3 linked regions of the Notamacropus eugenii genome follow. Each later gene encodes a partner of the first gene's protein in a complex. Links are inferred from orthologs where the notes say so. Each region holds a gene or a part of one and is shown in the gene's direction. Other genes may lie near its edges.

What was found.
Region 2: TAF6 (region 1) and TAF8 share a complex: the UniProt entries of both Homo sapiens proteins name them as parts of the TFIID basal transcription factor complex. The link is inferred for Notamacropus eugenii from reciprocal best matches to the Homo sapiens genes TAF6 and TAF8.
Region 3: TAF6 (region 1) and TAF13 share a complex: the UniProt entries of both Homo sapiens proteins name them as parts of the TFIID basal transcription factor complex. The link is inferred for Notamacropus eugenii from reciprocal best matches to the Homo sapiens genes TAF6 and TAF13.

Annotation. Positions count from the first base shown.
Region 1 is NC_092873.1:80,658,951-80,665,464, forward strand, and holds the start of TAF6 (transcription initiation factor TFIID subunit 6), read left to right. Parts: upstream 1-2,666; 5' UTR 2,667-2,825; coding exon 2,826-2,857; exon of another isoform or gene 2,858-2,942; coding exon of another isoform or gene 2,943-2,965; intron 2,966-6,514. Other genes in the region: CNPY4 (protein canopy homolog 4), read right to left, coding at 1,781-1,913. UniProt on the Homo sapiens protein: The TFIID basal transcription factor complex plays a major role in the initiation of RNA polymerase II (Pol II)-dependent transcription.
Region 2 is NC_092873.1:103,088,540-103,095,053, forward strand, and holds the start of TAF8 (transcription initiation factor TFIID subunit 8), read left to right. Parts: upstream 1-2,394; 5' UTR 2,395-2,450; coding exon 2,451-2,495; intron 2,496-4,240; coding exon 4,241-4,397; intron 4,398-6,514. UniProt on the Homo sapiens protein: The TFIID basal transcription factor complex plays a major role in the initiation of RNA polymerase II (Pol II)-dependent transcription.
Region 3 is NC_092873.1:287,195,880-287,202,393, reverse strand, and holds the start of TAF13 (transcription initiation factor TFIID subunit 13), read left to right. Parts: upstream 1-2,263; 5' UTR 2,264-2,432; coding exon 2,433-2,459; intron 2,460-4,452; coding exon 4,453-4,531; intron 4,532-6,514. UniProt on the Homo sapiens protein: The TFIID basal transcription factor complex plays a major role in the initiation of RNA polymerase II (Pol II)-dependent transcription.

The DNA of each region.
Region 1 (6,514 bases):
AAAGTGAAGGGCCACACTTATGAAATGAGATCTTCTGAAACAATGTATTACATCAGTAACACTGAGTTCATCAGGGAAAAAGATGCTAGCTGTGTAGCCACAGGCAAATCAGTACGGGATGAAGTCCTTAGTGCTCACAACTTCTGCACAGTCCAAAACTGTTTGGGAGTATCCTTCCCAAACATTCCCCAGTTAGGCAACATGACAACTACCTTTGTTCTTCCTTGCTAGTTTATGGGCATCAAGGAGTGGCTGAATCACCTTCTCCTTCCAAGGCTCCTTTAATTTGGAAGCTTCCAAGCTGGGGTGGGACAGGGCAGGGTGTTCACAACTGCTGCCATGCGAATTAAAAGATTTCTAAGGTCCTTTCCAGCTCTAATATGATTCTTTAAACCCCACTTTCAGCTTGGTAGGCCTGAATTACAGTTTATATCAGTTTTAAGGCATGGGCTCAGAGGCACCAGAGTTTTACATTTGAAAAAACTGTGATTTTGTCCAGGTGGGAAATACTCCCTTTATCAAAGCAGAACACAACCCCTTTGTACCTCAGTAGTTGATCTTTATGAGTTGCTGGGTTGTAAAAAATCATTACTGGGCCAACCTGGTAATAAACTTCTCCCAATTTATCTGGGCTGGTCCTTTGATGAAAGGCTAAGAGTTCTTTCCTGGATGTGATTGAAGCCTTTGGACAACAAGTCCCCCTCCTCCTAGCTCAAAGTGAATGTAAATAGTAAATAGAAACTGTTTCTCTTTTGGCCAGGAATCCCAAGGGTCTTCCCCTCCCAGTTTGGTTTTCTTTTGTTTTTTGAGAATCTGAAAAGACTTTAGCCTAAAAAGGCCAGTGTCTCTCATTGCATCCTGGGCCACCTCCAGTCCTCTGGATGGACAGATGGCTCTGGAGGACAAAGTGAGGCTGCTGACCTTGCACAGCCCTCCCTCACTCAAATCAAAGTCAACTGCAAGTCATGTCATCATCTCCCTCTGAGAAGAAAAGGCAAATACAACAACTTGAAGCCTTTCTGGTTTGGTAGAGCTTCCTACATTTTAAATTCCACCTGCATAGCCTTCAAAAATCCATCACTGCTCCAATAAGACACTAGAACTGGGTTTCGGTGGAAGCTGGAGGCTGGAGTGGCGAATTTCCCTGTTCATGAACCTAAGGACCACAGGGACCACTTGCGCCAGGCTGTGCGACCCTGGGGAAGTCATTCAACCCTGTTTGCCTCAGTTTTCTCATCTGTAAAATGAGGTGGAGAAGAAAATGGCAAACCACTCCAGTATCTTTGTCAAGAAAACCCTAAATAGGGTCACGACTGAACAACAAAGCAGTGTCAGTATTTATTTAGAGCTTTAGTTGACCAAGTCCTTTATGTCTACTTAGCCTCACAACAGCCCGGACAAGGTAATACGACCTTTACCATCACCATTTTACAGGTAAGGAGAGGAGGGCGCAAGGGAACCCTAAGGGGCTCTGGTCAGCAAGTGACGGAGCCTACATTCCCCCCCAGGTCCAATCCCCCTAATTCCCAGAGTCCGGCAGTGACGGGAAGGGGAATACCAGCCACGCGGCTCCATAGGCGGCATGCGGACCGTGCCCATTTTGCGGATGGGTAAACAAGCTCAGAGAGGAGAAGCGCTTTGCCAGGGGCCACACAGCGAGGATCAGTCTCCATCCCGCCCCCGCTTTTCCCTCTACAAACGTCGTGCCCCTCCCTGTCTCAGAGCCCATCCGAGCTGGCCCGGGAGCACAGGGCGCATCCTCGGTGGATGCCCAGGGTACCTTCGCATTTGCTGGGTAGGTGCTCCTCCTCCTCCTCCTCTTCTTTTTCCTTTGGCTTCCCACAACAGCTCTTCAATACAAGCAGGAGGAAGCAAAACAGCAGCAGCTGTCGTCGCTGCCACCCCTGTTCCATGTTCAGCTACCGAGCACCAACCTCGGACAGCGACGACAAAGGAACGATTTTTTAAAAAGCCAGGTTGCAAGTAAACTGGCCCTTTAAATCCAGCCTGGCATGTCGCGAGTACGCGCTTTACCAAGCTGAGGGTGAAGGACCGCGCAGACTCAGAGCGAACGCGCTTGGACTCCTCCCCCCTCCGCTTCCCCCCCCCCCCCCTTAGGTTCACCTACTGCGCAGGCGCCGCGCAAGCGCCAGCACTGTTTGTCACCGTCCAGGTCCTAGATGTGGCGAAGCAGGACGAAAAGAAGTGGGGAAGCGGCTAAGGCAGAGAGCGGAGTATATTCCTTTTGTCCATGGGAATGTGGAAGAGACCCTTTTGTGGAAGCTGTTGGCAGAGGAAGATTTTTCCGGGTTGAGGCGGCGGGCTGAAGGGTCTTTGACCTGGCTCTGCCAGGACCTGTGAGGAAGTCTAAGGTACTGCTAGGACCCGCCGAAGAGGCAGAGGTTTGAGATGGTGGCTCGCGCCACACGAGCTGCTGTTGGGAGCCGGTGAGGAACCGGAGACAGCACGGGTGGGGGAGCCGGACGTCGGGAGGCATGTCTTCAGGGGCTCGATAGGTGAGCGGCAAGTGGGTATAAGGGGAGGAAAGCGTCCCCAGAGCTTACTGGAGGCTCCCCGTAGGATAGTCTGCTGACTACCGGGACTTTCTGCGCCTGCGCGGGAAGGGGGAGCCGGGGTATTTTTAAATTTTCTATAGGAGTTGTGGAGAGGGAGAGCGATCCTTTTGGAGAATTGGCGAGTTGGAGCGGGCATCCCTTGTGGCAGGTACGAGGAAAATAAAATTTTGGCAAAATTGTATCCTGGCGCCGTGGATAGAGAACTGGCGGGAAGCAGGAAGACCTGTATTCAAGTCCTGCCCACGAAGAATGCTGGCTGTGATCCTGGGCCAGTGCCCTAGGTAACTTTATAAGAGTATCGATGGCAGAGAGAGTTCCACACGCAGTAAATTCACAGGGGAAGTCTTGGTAATAGCCAGAGATCCGATGGAAGAGTGTGTCTCATTCAGGTAGAATTTCTAAATTTCTTCTTTTCCACTCATGACCTTTGTGAGAAAGTGAGGGAGGTGAATTTTCTCATTTCTAATTTGGGATTAGATGTGGTCATTATAACCATATAGCGCTCCAAAAAAGAAAGTGGATTTGGACGGACCGTTTTGTGTTGCGGACAGAGCATGCAAGTGAGTGTGCTCATTTGCCCTCCCTAAAGGTGTGAAACTAGTAGCCGGGGCATAGCTTGCGTTTGTACCTTTTCCTGTCTTATTTGCTATAGACCACCAAGAGATTTAAAGTATGTACTTTAAAAACTAGGGAATCCTGAGCTGTAGGGGTGTTGGTTAATTATGGGGCAAAAATGGTTATTGTTTGAACATTTGGGAAATATATGGGATATTCACCTAAAGTGGGTGTTAAGTCTGGCTAAGGGGACTCAGCCCTTTTATAGGAAGAGTTGTTGAAAGAAAAGGCTAAACCTTAGGCTTTGGGTTTGTTGAAATGATCCTGCTCCCCGTTCTCCAGTCTGGGAGGCAGTAGGTCTCACAGCAGAGGCCCCAAAAGAGCACCCCTGGGAAAGCTGAGAGTCCTAGGGTAGGGACTCTCTGAAAGAGTGCAGACCTTAGCCTTGTTTAGCTGTGTTCAGCTAAATTCAGTGCTAGAAACAATAGCTGCTCATTGAGGAGCTTCCTGTTCCCAGTCAGGAGCAAACTCAAGGTAGGAGTGGAGCTGCCTTTCCCGGGCAGCTGCCAAGCCCATCGGTGGGTAGAGTGGTGGAAGGACCTAAGTGCTCAGCTGTGCTGAAGGATGAGTTGTGTGGACTCTCAGTTTCTGCTCACTTTTCCCACGAGGTATCGTGGTTCAAATACAGGCTCAGACACTACCTGTGTCACCTCTTTTTGTCTGTTTCTTGTGCTGTGAAGTAGGGATAGGAGAATCAAATAAGATACCGTTTGTAAATCACAATGCCTGACGCGTAGTAGGAGCTTAATAAATTCTTCCTTCCACCTTTTCACCTGCGTTTTCCTGTGTGTGTAGGAAGTGTTTTGTAGCTACTTGGTTTTACAATGTCAGCTTAGTAAATGTCTTTGCTTTCACCTAATTGTAAGCCCACTGGTGAGAGTTTCTGGGCTAGGGTTTAGGGTTGTGAGCTTGGGGTGCCAGGCCACAGAGTAGTGTACTCTTTGGACTCAACATAGCCAGTCATCCCTCCAAGGAACCAACCTTAAAGTGCAAGTTGGGGATAAGGTAGCTCCTGAAGGAGGGGCTATTCATTGAGGCTTTGTCCAGGTTATATTTGGATCCCTTGTACATTCTGAGACTATCTTTCTTGGATGCCCTAATATTGCAAGAGAAAAAAGATCATATTCTTTTGTTTTAGGTTGTAATTGTACAATCATTTTTCTGTTATGTTTCCTTTCAAAGAAACTGACCCAATTTGTAGATGAGAATTTAGCCACACAGAAGTTTAGTGCTAATGATATCTGTTGTCTTACTCTATCCATTAAGAATGTGAAAGCAGAAACATAATAGTATGCAGGTTGCTTGGAATATTGATTTGCCTAGAGCAGTAGTGTCAAACTCAAATAGAAACAGTTGATTAAATTGTATATAAGTATCCCTGTGGGCCAAATATTGATTTAATTTTAAAGTGGTATGTTTGACACCTCTGGCCTACGTAGAGCACATTGTAGAAGTACATTCATGTTAATTTTTAAAATGATACTTTTGAACAGAGCAGATCTGGATGTTTGCCTTATTGAGGCATGAGTCTGGACAACTTGTCTACAGATCCTTTATTGGACTACAGGTAAATAGGAATAAGATTTTCCTGACAGCCTAGGAACCCTGAGTAATCCACCTTAAAAAGTTAACACCTTCTTAAAAGCCTGGGTGGGGTTCTTTTGGAATGATTTGATTTCCTTTTTAAGAAACTCATTTGCCTGTCCAAGTGAAGGAGGGTCAGTTCAGACTACTGCATTTGGAATGCTGTATGTGTTGCAGGGACCTGTTGGAAATATTAAAATTTTTATGAGTTGGGGACTCCTAAAAGTTGCTGACTCGTAGGGGACTCTTGGGAGTGGGGGTTCAGAAGACAGAGTGTCATAAATAATTGGAGATGTATTGGGGAAAAACAGTTTCTCTGGGAAGACAAAATAACTTATTTGTAAATTCATTTAAATTCTATAAGCATTTATTAAGCACCTACTCTGCCAGTTAAGGGCAAATAGGTTAGCACAGTGTATTGAGTGCCAGCCCTGGAGTCAGGAGGATCTGAGTTCAAATGTTGCCTCTGGGCAAGTCACTTTAACTCTGTTTGCCTCTTCTGCCTCATCCTCATCTGTAAAATGAGGTGGAAAGAAAAATGGCAAACCACTCCAGTAACTTTGTCAAGAAGACCCCAAACGAAGGGCAGCTAGGTGGTGCAGTAGATAGAGAACCAGCCCTGGTGTCAGAAGGACCCAAGTTCACATCTGGCCTCAGAAACTTCACACTTAGTAACTGTGAGCCCGGCCTAATCACCTCATCCTGATTGCCTCCCACCACCCTCCATAAATATAAGAAAACCCCAAATGGGGTCATGAAGACTTGGATGTGGGCAAATTGACTAAACAGCAGCAAGAAACTATGCCAGGTACTGTGCTCGGTGCCAGGGAAAGAAATATCAAAATATGAAAAGGAGTGTTTGGGATGATATCAAGGTTATTAGGTAGAAGCTCAGGATGAAGAGCCTCCTTTTAAAAATTTTTTAATTTAAATTTTTATTTAATTTTTTAAGTGAAATACTGGGACTACTGAAAAGATTGGGGTGTGTGTGTGTGTGTGTGTGTGTGTGTGTGTGTGTGTGTGTGTGTGTAATGATGACATGACTTTCCAATGATTTGGACCAGGTCCTCCATGTACTTAGGTTGAATAATTTTAACTGGGTCATTATTGTACCACAAGGGGCAGCTAGGTGGTTCACTGGATAGAGCACCAGTACAGGAGTCAGGAGGACCTGAATGACATGACTTTGTTTTGAGTCCGGGAGGGCTGTGCAGGTCACCAGCCTCACTTCCTCCTCCAGAGCCATCTGAATCCAGTGACCAGTTATTCATCAGGATGACTGGAGATGACCCAGGATGAGGCAGTTGGGGTTGAGTGACTTGCCCAAGGTCACACAGCTAGTGAGTGTCAAATGTCTGAGGTGAGATTTGAACTCAGGTCCTCCTGACTCCTGTACTGGTGCTCTAGCCACTGCATCACCTAGCTGCCCCCTGTGGTACAATAATGTCTCAGTTAAAATTATTCAGCCTAAGTATATGGAGGACCTAATCCAAACATGGACTTGGAGGTAGGATAGATTCATTGGAATGTAAGTTCCTTGAGAGATTATGTTGGAAATAGTTGAGCAGCAATAGAACAGTGGGGGGCACTGATTCAAAGGTTGATAGGAGTACTTTTAACACTGTAGTCTAGTTTTAAAAGGAGGAGAATGAGGATGACCAGGCAAGGATGGACGACTGAAGGTGGAGGTGAGACTAGGAGGTTAGGGTGAGAGAGATTTGTTATGGATTATGGAGTCA
Region 2 (6,514 bases), about 22 Mb from region 1:
CTCTGTACGTGGGCGCTGCGCTGTCCTGCCCCAAAGGTGATTGGAGTGTTCTGGCTTTGCTACTTAGTTGCATATCATTTTGATCACTTCGATGCCGCCCTGAATTGCAAGTTTCTCCTGTCAAATAAAAAGGTTGGACGAAATCACCTCAAAAGCCCCTTCCTGCTCTGAATATTATGGTCCTAATAATAAAGTCCCTTCTAGTAGGAATATTCTGCGGTTCTGTGGAGAAAGGGATTGATCTCTAAACCCTAGAATTGCTGTAGACTTCGTTGTGAAGGGGTGGAGCTCTTGTTAGTCACTGAAGCTTTAGTAACCTCTAGGACTCAGGGCAAAAGGTTTGGGATCCAAAAATTCTTGTCTCTTGACTGCTGGCGAAGGGTGTGGTTTCCTAACAATGAAGTGGAAAAAGCCTTGGAAATCTGGATCCCTGCACTTTGTGCATTTCACTTCTTCCAGATCTCGATTTCCAATTCTGTAAAAAGGGGGGGGGAGAGGAAGGGCTGAACTAAATTATGTCAAAGATCCCACTAAAGCAGAGGTATTTAAAAATATATATATATATTTGGTATTTTATTTTCCCTCAATTACACGTGAAAACAACTTTTAACATTCATTTTAAAAATTTCGAGTTTCAAATTCTCTCCCTTCCTCCTCATCCTGCTCATTGAGAAGGCAAGCAATTTGATATAGGTTATCCATGTGTAGGCATGCAAAACAATTTCCATACTAGTCATATTGTAAAAGAAAATATAGACCCCAAAAAAAACCCTTCAAGAAAAATAAAGTAAAAAAAGTCTCTGTATTCTGAGACCATCAGTTCTTTCTCTGGGGATGGATAGCATTTTACATCCTAAGTTCTTCAGAGTTGTCTTGGATCATTGTGTTACTGAGAATAGCTAAATCATTCACAGCTAATCATCTTACAGTATTTCTGTTACTGATGGGGTACAGGCTCTAGGAACCTGCTTGAACGCTCTTTGAATCTTCCCACTTGATTTGGCTTTTCATGCCCAAATTTGTTATGCTTAACCTAGCCTAGCCCTCCATTGGCTAGGACCCTCCTTAAACCCCATCTGTAGTTACTGGTTACATCTCTAGTTACTCTGGAGTTCTTGGCCAACTCTAGATCTCTCACACAATCTTTCTGTATATAAGATTCATCTTGCTTCCATGAAGGCGTTCAGATTCAATCTAGCTCACATTGTATCTGGCCCAATTGTCAATACAAGAGTCACAAATGCTCAGATTCCTTAAGAGTCTGTTCAATATGGCCAATCTTAAAAAAAAACAAAGCAACTTTGTTTTTCTTTGGCTGAAAGAAGGCTTGAGTCAAATTCATTTGGGCAAGACCCTGCTATTTCTGTGGGAGCACCCCTAAACCTCAACATTACTGAGTACACTATTCCCCTGGTTCTACTCATTTAACTCTGCATCGGTTCATGTAAGTCCTTCCAGGTTTCTGAGTGCATCCTGCTCATCATTTCTTATAGCATAATAGTATTCTATCACAATCACATAACACAACTTGTTCAGCCATCCCATCAATTTCCAGGTCCCTGCCATCAGAAAAGAGTTGCTACAAATATTTTATTTACATTTATAATATATAAATATATTTATTTATAAATATTTGTGCACATAGGTCCTTTTCCTTTTTAAAATCTCTTTTGGTATACAGACCTAGTAGTGGTATTGCTAGGTCAAAGGGCATGCCTGGTTTCATAGCTCCCTAGACAGTTCCAGATTGCTCTACAGAATGATTTTATCAGTTCGCAACCCCAACAGTGCACCAAAGTCTCAGTTTTCCCACGTCCCCTCCAACGTTTCTCCCCCTCCCCCTCTGTCCTGTTACCCAATCCAATAGGTGTGAGGTAGCATCTCAGAATTTTTTAATTTAGCAGAGATGTTTTAAACCTGGGGTTCATGAACTTGGTGGTTTGTTTTTAACATGATTATCTGTATTTAACTTAATTGGAATCCTTTGTATTCTTACGCACTGAAAAACATGATTCTGAGAAGGGGTCCTTAGATGTGCCTAAAGGGTCCGAGATACACAAGAAGGATTAAGAATTCCGTGCCCCAAGTCCAAAGCCTGTGATCCTGGGACACTGAGGTGTCTCTGCTCCAGGAGGCTATGAAGCTGCTGGGGTTTCAATGGTGAACGAAACACATCTAAGCTCCCTTTTCCTGCTGTCACCTGAGGGCGCATTTCCCAGGCTTTAGGCTCCTAGTGGTCTAACAAGCCAGCGTGCACTCTATCCTCTCGTGTAAGGCCACGTGAAGTCACGGACTCTGGTCACACCCACCACAACGCCCATCTTTGGAAACTGGAGCTGTGAGCCCGACCCCTCTCCCTCCTCCCTCCTATCCCTGCACCGCCCCCGCTTCCCCCTAGGACTACAGTTCCCAGGCTGCCCTGCGCACATGCACATTCTCAGGTATTCAAGATGGCTGACACAGCTGCAACTGCCGGAGCCGGTAGCTCAGGAGCGGTAAGAATCAGAGGGCGTGGGTCAGGGGCATGAGGACTTAGTCCCTGGCCTCAGCAAAACGGAGCAGCGCGAAGATTGGGGGGTCTCTGGAGTCAGTTCCCACACCGAGCCACTCTGGCCGAGGCAAAGGCCTCCCCTTCCAGTGTACCCCTCCCCCCACCTCTTCTAGCTCTTGGCCGCTCGAGTCCTCAATTGGCTAGTTCCCAGTAGGAGGCGGGGATTCCGGAGAAAGCGTCTAATTGGCTCAAGCTGCCCTGCCTTCTCTCTTATTGGCCCGATTTTTTGCCAATCGAAAAACCAGCTGGTGGGGGATTTAAAAGAACATTTCAGCGTCCTTCTTGTTATAAAAATCTGTTTGCAACGGTGCGAGTTAAACCACTTGGCCCTGTGACAGCTGAGAAGAATAATTCCTGTTTTTGCTATTCAGTTAAGCTCTTCCGTGACCCCATTAGATACTGGAGTGGTTTGCCATTTTCTTTTCCAGCTCATTTTACAGATGAGGAAACTGAGGCAAACAGGGTGAAGTGACTTGCCCAGGGTCACACAGCTAAAAGTCTGAGTCATGATTTGAACCTCTTTTCATAACATCAGAGACTTCTAGTGCTTGGAGGGAACATAGAGGCAATGAAATCCTTTTACAAAGTGTTTCTCATCGTATGTGAAATGAGGAGCTCTGAGACTGAAGGAGAGGAGTCGTTCTGGGGCTGGTTGTTGTCCTTTGTTCTCAGAGAGGACCAAAGTGACATCACTGTGCTAGAGTCAAGCTTAGATGTGTCCGACTATGGCTGACCAGACCAGTACAAGCTCGGAATGCTCTACCGCAGATCAGACACAAATAGTCCATGTGAACATTTGGGGTGGATAGTCTGAATTTGTGCATCCTGAGTTTCCTTCGAGCGCTTTTAATTCTGCTTTGCTCATAGAGCACAGCACCTTCTCTGATGTGGGAATGCCATGCTGAGTGTTCCAGTGTCAGTATCTCCTCGTGTGTCTCCCACCTTGAGGGTGTCCTTGTATCGCTTCTTCTGACCACCGTATGAATGCTTGCCCTGTGTGAGTTCTCCATAAAAGTCTTTTTGGCAAGCATATGTTTTGCATTTGAACAACGTGGCCAGTCCATCAGAGTTGCACTGTCTGAAGCAGAATATGAATGCTTGGCAGTTTAGTTTGAGTAAGAACCTCAGTGTCTGGTACCTTATCTTGCCAAGTGATCTTCAGGATCTTCCTAAGACAGTTCAAATGGAAGCGATTCAGTTTCCTGGCATGGTGCTGGTATACTGTCCAGGTTTCACAGGAATTCCACAATGAGGTCAGCATAACGGCTCTGTAGACCTTCAGTTTGGTAGTCAGTCTAATACCTCTTCTCTCCCATAGATTTCTTCGGATCCTCCCAAACACTGAGCTAGGTCTGACAATTCATGCATCAACCTCATTATCAGTGTGTACATCCCTGGAAAGAAAAAATTTTATGAAGACCTGGAGGCCCTTATTCTGGGGTATACATTGAGGGAAGGAATCATTAGCTTCCAGGGTTCAGCACTTCTTGAACACTCAGTGATTAAGCTAGTTAGCCAGAAGCACAAGTCAGAATGGCAGAGTTGCTGCATTTTAAAAGGGAGGTGTTGGTAGGCATTTATCATTCATTTCCCATCTGTCATGGGTGGTCAGTTTTATATTCTTAGAGTATGTGATTTCACCTTTAATATGTAAACTAAAACCATGCTCTCTTTTGTTGATTCATATAGAGATCAGGAAGCAAGCAGGCCACCACCCCTGCAGACAACTACTACCTGGCACGCAGGCGGACCTTGCAGGTAGTTGTGAGCTCCTTGCTGACAGAGGCTGGGTTTGAAAGTGCTGAGAAAGCATCGGTGGAAACATTAACTGAGATGTTACAAAGCTGTGAGTATGGAGGATACTAGCTGCTTTTTGCAAAGTCAGTCCATTAAATTTTTTTGAAAGTTAAATACCTACCTCCATGAAACTTCCTTGTGGTGGAGGTTGCCTTGAATTCTCAATGGTTTTGCTGATGGATTATAAACTTTTGCAGTTCTCAGAGTTTTCAGATATGAGCTAAGCAATGAACTTTGGTCCAAGAATGTACTTATTAAATTTGGATATACTCAGCAAAAGTTTGGTCAACAGATAATTTATTTTTCTCTAACACAGAAGCTTATGAAGCAGCTAAGACTTAGTGAATGAATGAACAAATACACTTTTTTAAACATTTGCTATATATGTTAAACACTCTGTTAAGCACCAGGGATACAAATACAGAAAAGTAAGGCAGTTCTTGCCCTCAAGAACTTACATTCTGTAATAAGTGAGATAAGTGGGTTCATTCTGTATTTAAAGAGGAGAGTGGGCAGTTAAAGGAGTTTTGGTCCAGGGAGTTACTAGAATGCTGAGTTGATCCGTAGGGCAGTCAATTAATATGCCCTTTCCAAAAGCTTTGGTATTATTGATTACTTTTCCCAGATCAAGAAGTGGAAAAAGAGGAATGGGGAGGGTATTTGTGCATTGGCAGAGTAGTTGGCAAGGTGGCCTTTGTGGACGGCTGGATGGAATACAAAGCATAGCCTAATTTGGGCTTTTCTGGGGCTGTGCAAATATCGTAGGGAAGGCAAATTTATATTCACTCAAGACATTTCAGCCTGTGAATAGAAATTCCAAAGCGGAGTAATTTCCGCAAGAATTGGGGTCATGGATTCTAGAGTGCAGAGGTTGCTGCTTTTGGTAGGGAGAAATGAGGTGACAGGACTGATCAGTAAGAAAGCATTTATTAAGCATCTTCTAAACACCAGGTGCAGTGCTAAGTGCTGCATATACAAAAGAGGCAAAAGATAGTCCCTGCCCTTGAGGAGCTTATACTCTAATGGAGGAGACAACATATAGACATGTATAGACAAACTTCATACAGGATAAATAGGAAATAATTAAATAAATAGAAATAGGAACAAGATAAATAGGAAATAATTAAAAGAGGGAAGTGCTAGGGTTTAGAGGGTTGGGAAAGACTTCTGTAGAAGATGGGATTTTAGTTGAAGCCAAGGAATCCAGCAGGTAGAGGTGAGGAGGGAGAGCATTCCAGGTGTGGGGAACAGTCTGAAAAAATGCCCAGAACCAAGAGATGAGTGTCTTGTTTGAGGAACAGCCAGGAAATCAGTGTCACAAGATTGAAAAGTACAAGTTGAGTAAGGTGTGAGAAGACTTAAAAGGTTAGGGATGGAGGACAGGTTTTGATTCTGAAGGTGAGAGGGAGCTAGTTGAGTTTGTTGACTAGGGAGGGGACATGGTCAGATGTGCCCTTGAGGAAAATCATTTTGGCAGTTGAGTGGAGGATTGGAGTGAGGAGAGACTTGTAGCCGTGAGACTCATTACTAGGGCTATTTCAGTAGTCCAGATGTGAAGTCATGAGGGCCTTCATCAGGGTGGGGGCAGTGTCAGAAGGGAGATGTGACGATGAAATTGACAGCCCCTGATTGGATGTGGGAAGGGAGATATAGTAAGGAGTAGAGGATGACAAGTTTGCAAGGGGTGAGAATATAGGGGAAACGATAGTGAGTTTAGTTTGGCCATTTTGAGTTTCAGATATCTACTGGACATCCAGTTCAAAGTGTCTGAAAGGCAGCTGGAGATGCAAAACTAGAGGTCAGCTGAGGTTATGGCATGATAGATAGACTTGACAGATGATAGATAATTAAATCTCAGAGAACTGATGAGATCACTAGGTGAAATTATTGTTGTTCAGCCTTCATTCTTAAAGAGGACCATGAGCTTGATTTGCGTGTGAATTGGAAATGAGTGAGGTAGAGCCAAGCAAAGTCATCAGCCTTATGCTCTCCTCCAGAGTCATTGAAGCCCAGTGGCCAAAGTATAGAGGGAGAAAAGAAGAGGGCCCAGGTTAAATCCCTGTGGAACATCTACAAGTAATGGATCCATCAAAGGAGACTGAGAAGATAGGAGGAGAACCAGAAAAGGATTGAGAAAAGGTCATTAGATTTGACAATTGGGAGACC
Region 3 (6,514 bases), about 210 Mb from region 1:
GTTTTTCCTCGGTCTTTGCATTCCCCCAGTGATTAGTACAGTGCCTGGCACATGATTGAGACTTAACAAATTCTTATTGTGAGTGCTTGATCACTTCTGGTAAAAATGGTAATTAGATCAGATAGTTACTTTGCCTGAAGACATTAGTTACCTTCTAATAGTAACTCATATACATTTGTTATAGATACATATATGTATATATACATATATGCATATATATGCATATACATGCATACATGTATAGGTAAATACTTTTTGGGGGGTCCCAGACATATGATTTCATCTGAGAGCATAGGGAGATAACAGTGAAGAAACTCTCTCAATTTAGACAAGCAACTATTCGTCAGTTTATAGTCTTAGAAAATAGCCTGGGACACTGATAGGTTATATAGTAGGTAAATGTCAGGGGAATTTAAATTCAGGTCATCTTGAACCCTAGGTTGCCACTTTCTCCACTATATTGTACTACCTCTCATATTATGAATATACAAAAACACATATTTTTGTTAAAATAGTTTTACATCTTCTTACGTTAAAAAGAGTCACATATCTTAAGGATCAGAAGACTAGAATTAGGATATATAACAAGTGGGCAGCTAGGTGGTGAAGTACAGTGCCAGGCCTGAAGTTAAGAAGACTCATGTTTCTGAGTTCAAATCTGGCCTCAGACATTTACTAGTTATGTGACCTGAGCAAGTCACTTCCCCCTGTTTGCCTCAGTTTCCTCATCTGTAAAGTGAACTGCAGAAGGAAATGGCAAACCACCCCAGCATCTTTGCCAAAAGACCTCTACACAAAGTCATGAAGACTCAAACATGACTGAAGTGACTGAACAACAACCTAATAGGTAAAAGACACGTGCAAATATACACAAAGACAGAAAATTAGGAGCATAAATGGAAACTGTAACTTTCAGGGAAATAATGATAACAGAATTTACATAGTGCATTAAGGCTTGCAAAGTATTTGACATATATGATCTCATTTTAACCTCACAACAATCCTGGCAAGTAGAGGCTATTTTGCAGATGAGGAAACTGAGGAACAGAGAAGGCAAGCGACTTTCTCAGTGTCATACAACTTAAGTATTTGAGGCAGCATTCAAATTCAGGTTTTCCCCACTCTGAGTCTTGCACTACATACCACCTAGCCTGCCTTACAGGACAAAGTGGTAAAGAACTTCTCTAAGTTCATATTGGAACTTTCTTGATGGGAATGTAGAAGTCTCTCTACAATTCTTCTCCAAGTCAGATAAAAAAATGCAATCCCAAATTACCTTTCTCAAAACAAACCAAAACAAGCCTTTACTTTTTATTTTTTTCAAGCTGCAGAAAATACAGCTCTCACCCGCACACATTACTTTCCAGTCTGAAAGGGATTTCTCTCCCCTCAAATTTCTCCAGGTACTCCTACTACTCGTATTTGCAATTGCCAGTTTTATAGCTATCTGTATGCATTCCCCTTATTGTTAGGTGGTCCATCCTTCCCTTTTGAAAAGGACCAGGGGCATCATGGCGGTGATGACTTCTGCCGTCTTGACTTAGGAGTAAACTGGATTTAAGTGAGGCAGAGTTGCATAAAGTGGTCAGCCTCACTCTCTCTTCCAGAGTCATCCAAGTCCAGCCGCAAGACAAAAGTCAGGAGGACTAGCTATGCAGCGGGTGACCTTGGCGTCTCTGATGTCTGACCCAGCTCTAAGGCCTCCACAGGGTCTGCTTCAGCCACCTTCCTGAGAGCTGGAACACACTGCTCTCCTCTTCGGGCTGCACCAGGGTAGGCCTTCACGTAACTCACTGAGGGTCATCGGAGGGGTCAGCTACCCCGAACAGGCGCTGCTCATGGCGTCCCAGGTAAAAGGTGGGCTCCAAAGGTGGATGGATAGTTCTGAAAATGCTAGTCTTTCCTGGGCACCCCGTTATTCCGCTCTAACCCAAGTCCGGGATCTTTCCACCATCCAGCGGCGCCCTGGAGGTCATTTCCCACTTTGTGTGTAGGGACAGAAGGCTCCCAAGGATGTCTCAGGGCACCCTGCCTCTAGATTTCCTGCTGCTTGTCACTAAACTGGAAAGGAGGGATTCTCCAGCTTTTATATTCGCATCCCTGCCGAGTCTCCCCGTCCCCCAATCCACAACTGGCTGATTGAGAGATTTTTTTCAAATCACTGAGGGTCACGCGCCTAAGCCCCTCCCCATTCGTCTCTGACGAATCAGAGACCCAGGCATGCGTGCGCGTGCGTGTCGAGACGTGCTTCTACTTCCGCGTGTGCGCGCCTTCTCCCGAGCAGCAAGGAGCGGTTCGATCAGATGATGCGGTTCTGACGTGGAGGTGAGGAAGCAAGAAGTGAGGAAGCGGAAGGACGGAAGCGGAAGCTCGCGAGTTCCCCCGCCCTCCGAGCAAGAGAGGAATTTCTGACGGTTGGAGCCGGGGACGGGATGGCTGATGAGGAGGAGGACCCTACTGTGAGTGAGCAGGCCTCCCTCTCTCACCTCCTCTCCGCTTTCCGCAGCTCGGAGCGAGCAGCGGCCCCCGGCCGCTAGGGCCTAGAAGCGTGTGCGGGCGGGAGCGTGCTGAGGCCCAAGGCCGGGGAGCCCCGGGAGCTCGCGGTCGCTTCTCTGCACTGCGTGCCCGGCTTCCACATTACCCCTTCTCCCTCGGTTCACTGTGGAACTGGATTTGTGCGGGCGGCGTAGAAAAATGCCCCAGCAGTCAGTGATGCCTGCACAACATTGCCCACAGACGTGGGGAGAGGCCGCCGAAAGCCGCGATACTCTTTCTGTTCTCAGTGTCGTGGAAAAGACCCGGTGTATTTGTGGAGTCCAAGGGCGCGTGATTTTGGCCGAGTCTCTTTTAACTCCTTTGGGCTTTGAACGAACTCCTTTCTTTCTCTACATAAAGGGAAAGACGTTACTTATAGTATTTACTTGAATTAAGCAGCTACCTCCTGATTAAAGCTTTTTCGGATCCCCTGCTAGTGTGTTGTATTTTGTGTCTATATTTTGAACGTATTTGTATAGGCACAAGTTATCTGTTCCCCCCATGGGACCTAAGTTTTTTGAGGGTAGAGACTATTCATTTTTGCTTTCACATCCCTAGCGTCAAACACAGTGCCTAGCACGTGACAGGCAGAATAATGAATGAATGTTGGTTGTTTGATAATTCCCTGCCAGGATCATTGTGGGAAAAAAAAGCCTTTTAATCTTAAAAGCCTCTGTGTATATGCATTATTCGGAGATGATACTAAATGTTGTTTCTGACTGTAAACCTGTGGGAATCAGGAGAACTCTTTTCTGATTTGAGTTTCCCTCTCTGGCCGTGAAACATTCATTTAGCATATCAAGGTCTCAGTTTCATCCTTTACAAAATGAGAGTATTGGACTAGATGATTTCTGAGGACTGCCCGACCTCTAAAATTGTATGGAATTCATCTAGACGACAAGATATTCAACCTAGGATATCCTAGTTTCAACCACATTATTTTAAGAGGGGCATCAACAGATGGGAATTCATCTAGATGAAAGTGATAAGAATAGTGAGAGGTTTGGAATGGTTTGCATAAAATGACAGAAGGAGCTTAGATATCATCTGGTACCCTTAGTTTAAGGATGACAGAAAGACTTGCTTAAGAGCACATAGTAAAAGGCAAAGCCAGAAAACTTGGGAGTTTTCTGACTCCGAAGTCCACTGTACTTTCCAGTACATCACTGCCATAAAAGGAAAGTTTGAAAACTTGGTGTGCTTTGCTTAGGGAAAACTAAGGAAAGACATGGATAGCTCTTTTCAAAGATTTGAAAGGCACTCAGGAAAAAAAAAGACTTTTTTTTGTGCTGCAGAGGACAAAACAAGATTAATGATTGAAAGTTAAGAGACAGATTTAAAAAATTTTTTTTGAAAAAAAGGGAAAACTGTACACACTGACTGTAATTGTGGGCAGGTCATTTAACCTAATCTCAGTACCCCAGCCAGTTCTCTATTCATTAAGTTACACGAGATAAGTCACTAACCTACTTTAGTAAAACAAGGAGTCTCTACACCAAGAATTACTTGGATAGATGAAGTCACCCAAATCCTTCATCTCTCCACATTAGCTAATGTATATAAAGCACATATGTTTTAGCTGTTTATATAGCATTATGTGTATGTTATTTTTTTCTCATTATTACAAAATACATTTAACTATTCAACAGGAAAATGAATAGCCCTATTACATTCTAATCTTCCCTTCACTCATGCAACAGCTGGGTAAACCATTTGTTCACCAAATTAAGGCTTATTGTATTTAGTTTCAGGATTTTAGGGTTCTACATTGTAAAGAGATTTCTGTGTGGATATAGAAATGGTTATTTGCATCCATGACCTATTAGATGCCTTCCAATTTTAGTTCATTTTTGAAAATAAATTTTTTATTAAACATTTAAAAAATCTTCTTTATCTCAATTCTTTAAACTCTTCTAGTTTGAGGAAGATACTGAAGATGTAGGAGGAGGAGCAGATGGTGGACAGGGTAAAAGGAAAAGACTTTTCTCTAAAGAATGTAAGTATTATATTTAGTATTTTGATTGTGGATGTCATGCATTGAAGATGAACATATATAGGCATTCTCTAAATTAAAAATGGGTTGTGCTTTATAAGTTACTAGTTTGTTGCTGGGAACAAAAAGAATCTTTCCTTAGAAGTTATGCTATAAATAGTGATTTACAGGTCTCAAGCCATCTATAAAAGCCTATTTGACTTCTAATGTACTCCACTAATATCTTGCTGTGATGACCCATTATTTTATGACGGCAATCCTCACTTCTTGAAAGCTGTGCCAGTGGACTGTAAGCTCTGGTAGGTCCTAGCAAGCTACAAAGCCTTCATGTACAGGTCTGAAAATAGATTGTATGCCTGTTATTTAAAGACCAGTTCAGGTAAGTTTAGAGAATCTTATCACCAGATTGTCCACTGGATGATTAATTTTTTTCAGCCATAGCAACTGTCAACTGTATTCTTAATTATAGAAGGTTTATAATTCACCCACAACAAAATCATAAATTGTCTTGCCCATAATGTACCTCAGTGATGCCAACTTAACCACCCTTGGTAGTAATACCCATCCTTGATAATAATACTTCTGTAAGAAAGCATTTAGAATTCAAGCTTTGAATATCAGGAACATACCTCTCCCCTACCCTGATCTTCATGCTTCCTATATAACTGTGTGAAGATAGCCAGGAAAGGCACGCATTGGGAAAGGTATCAGGCTGAGAAAGAATTAAGGGGAAAATTCCAGGCAGCAGCAGGGTCTGTGCCAGGTGTGGGGAACCTTTAGCCCCAAGGCCACATGTGGCTTTCTAGGTTCTTGGGTTGGGCTTTTTGCTTGACTCTAAGTTTTACAAAATAAATCCTTTTATTAAGGGGATTAGTTTTGGGCAGTTTGGATTCAGACAAAGGGCTGCACTTGAGGACCTAAAGGGTCACATATGACCTCAAATGTTCATGCTGCAGGTTCCCCACCCTTGTTTAAGCGTCAGCAGAGAAGAGATAGGAATGTCTTTGGGTTCCCCTTTGTTTGTCCTTATAATACGTGAAACCAGTTATACAGAAACTAAACAAAGTCTGTATCTTTATATTGTTTAAAAATAAGTTAGACACTGTTCTATCTTAATATGGTTGACAAACCACAAAATGGAAATGGGCACAAACTTAAAATACTTCTTTAATCCATAAGTGACTGTCTAATCAATATAGGTACTACCTCCAGAGGTGAAGATTGCAGCTTACCTACACATCATTGTGTCTAACTCTTGTTGTATATCCTCTCATAAACCTTCTTCAAGGAGAATCCCTCTTTCATTTGAATTCTGATGCTGACAGATGTCTTGGTGAGCATGTCTCACTTAACATTTATAATCAAAGGTTTGTCAAGCAGTTATCTTTGTTACACCTTTTGAGCAGTTTTGTTCAATTTTGACATGCATGGGGCACACTTCTTTGGGGAAAATCTTTAAGGAAGCATTTTGCTCTGCTGAATCAGATGCTTTGAAATAATCAACAAATAAGCATGTTAGGATCTTTTATTTTCTACATCAGAGGTGTCAAACTTGCTGCCCTCCTCAAGTTCCAACTAGATTAAAATCTAATTGGGAAATGTTTAACAAAATAAATAAAAGTACAGCATAACACAGACAATGTTAATTTGTGTTTTCTAAGTCAGTATGCATGTAGGGAATTAAATTTGATACCACCAACCTATCAGTTTTTTATTGAAAAGATATGATCTGCTGCAAAAGCCTGATCCTTAATCATACCTTCATCAAGGATCTTCTCAGTATACATGTATTATTCTCATAAAGATTGTGTAGAGATGGAAAAGTAGGTGTATGGCTCAGTAGTTATGGGTATTTTCTTGACTTCCTTTTTTAGTTACAAGAAGTAAAAGAGGTTTTCCAAGTTCCAAGAGTTGATGATAGTTTTTTATTTAAGATATCTTGAGAATCGATCCCTCGTCACCCTCTGAATTGTGTCATTTACAGCC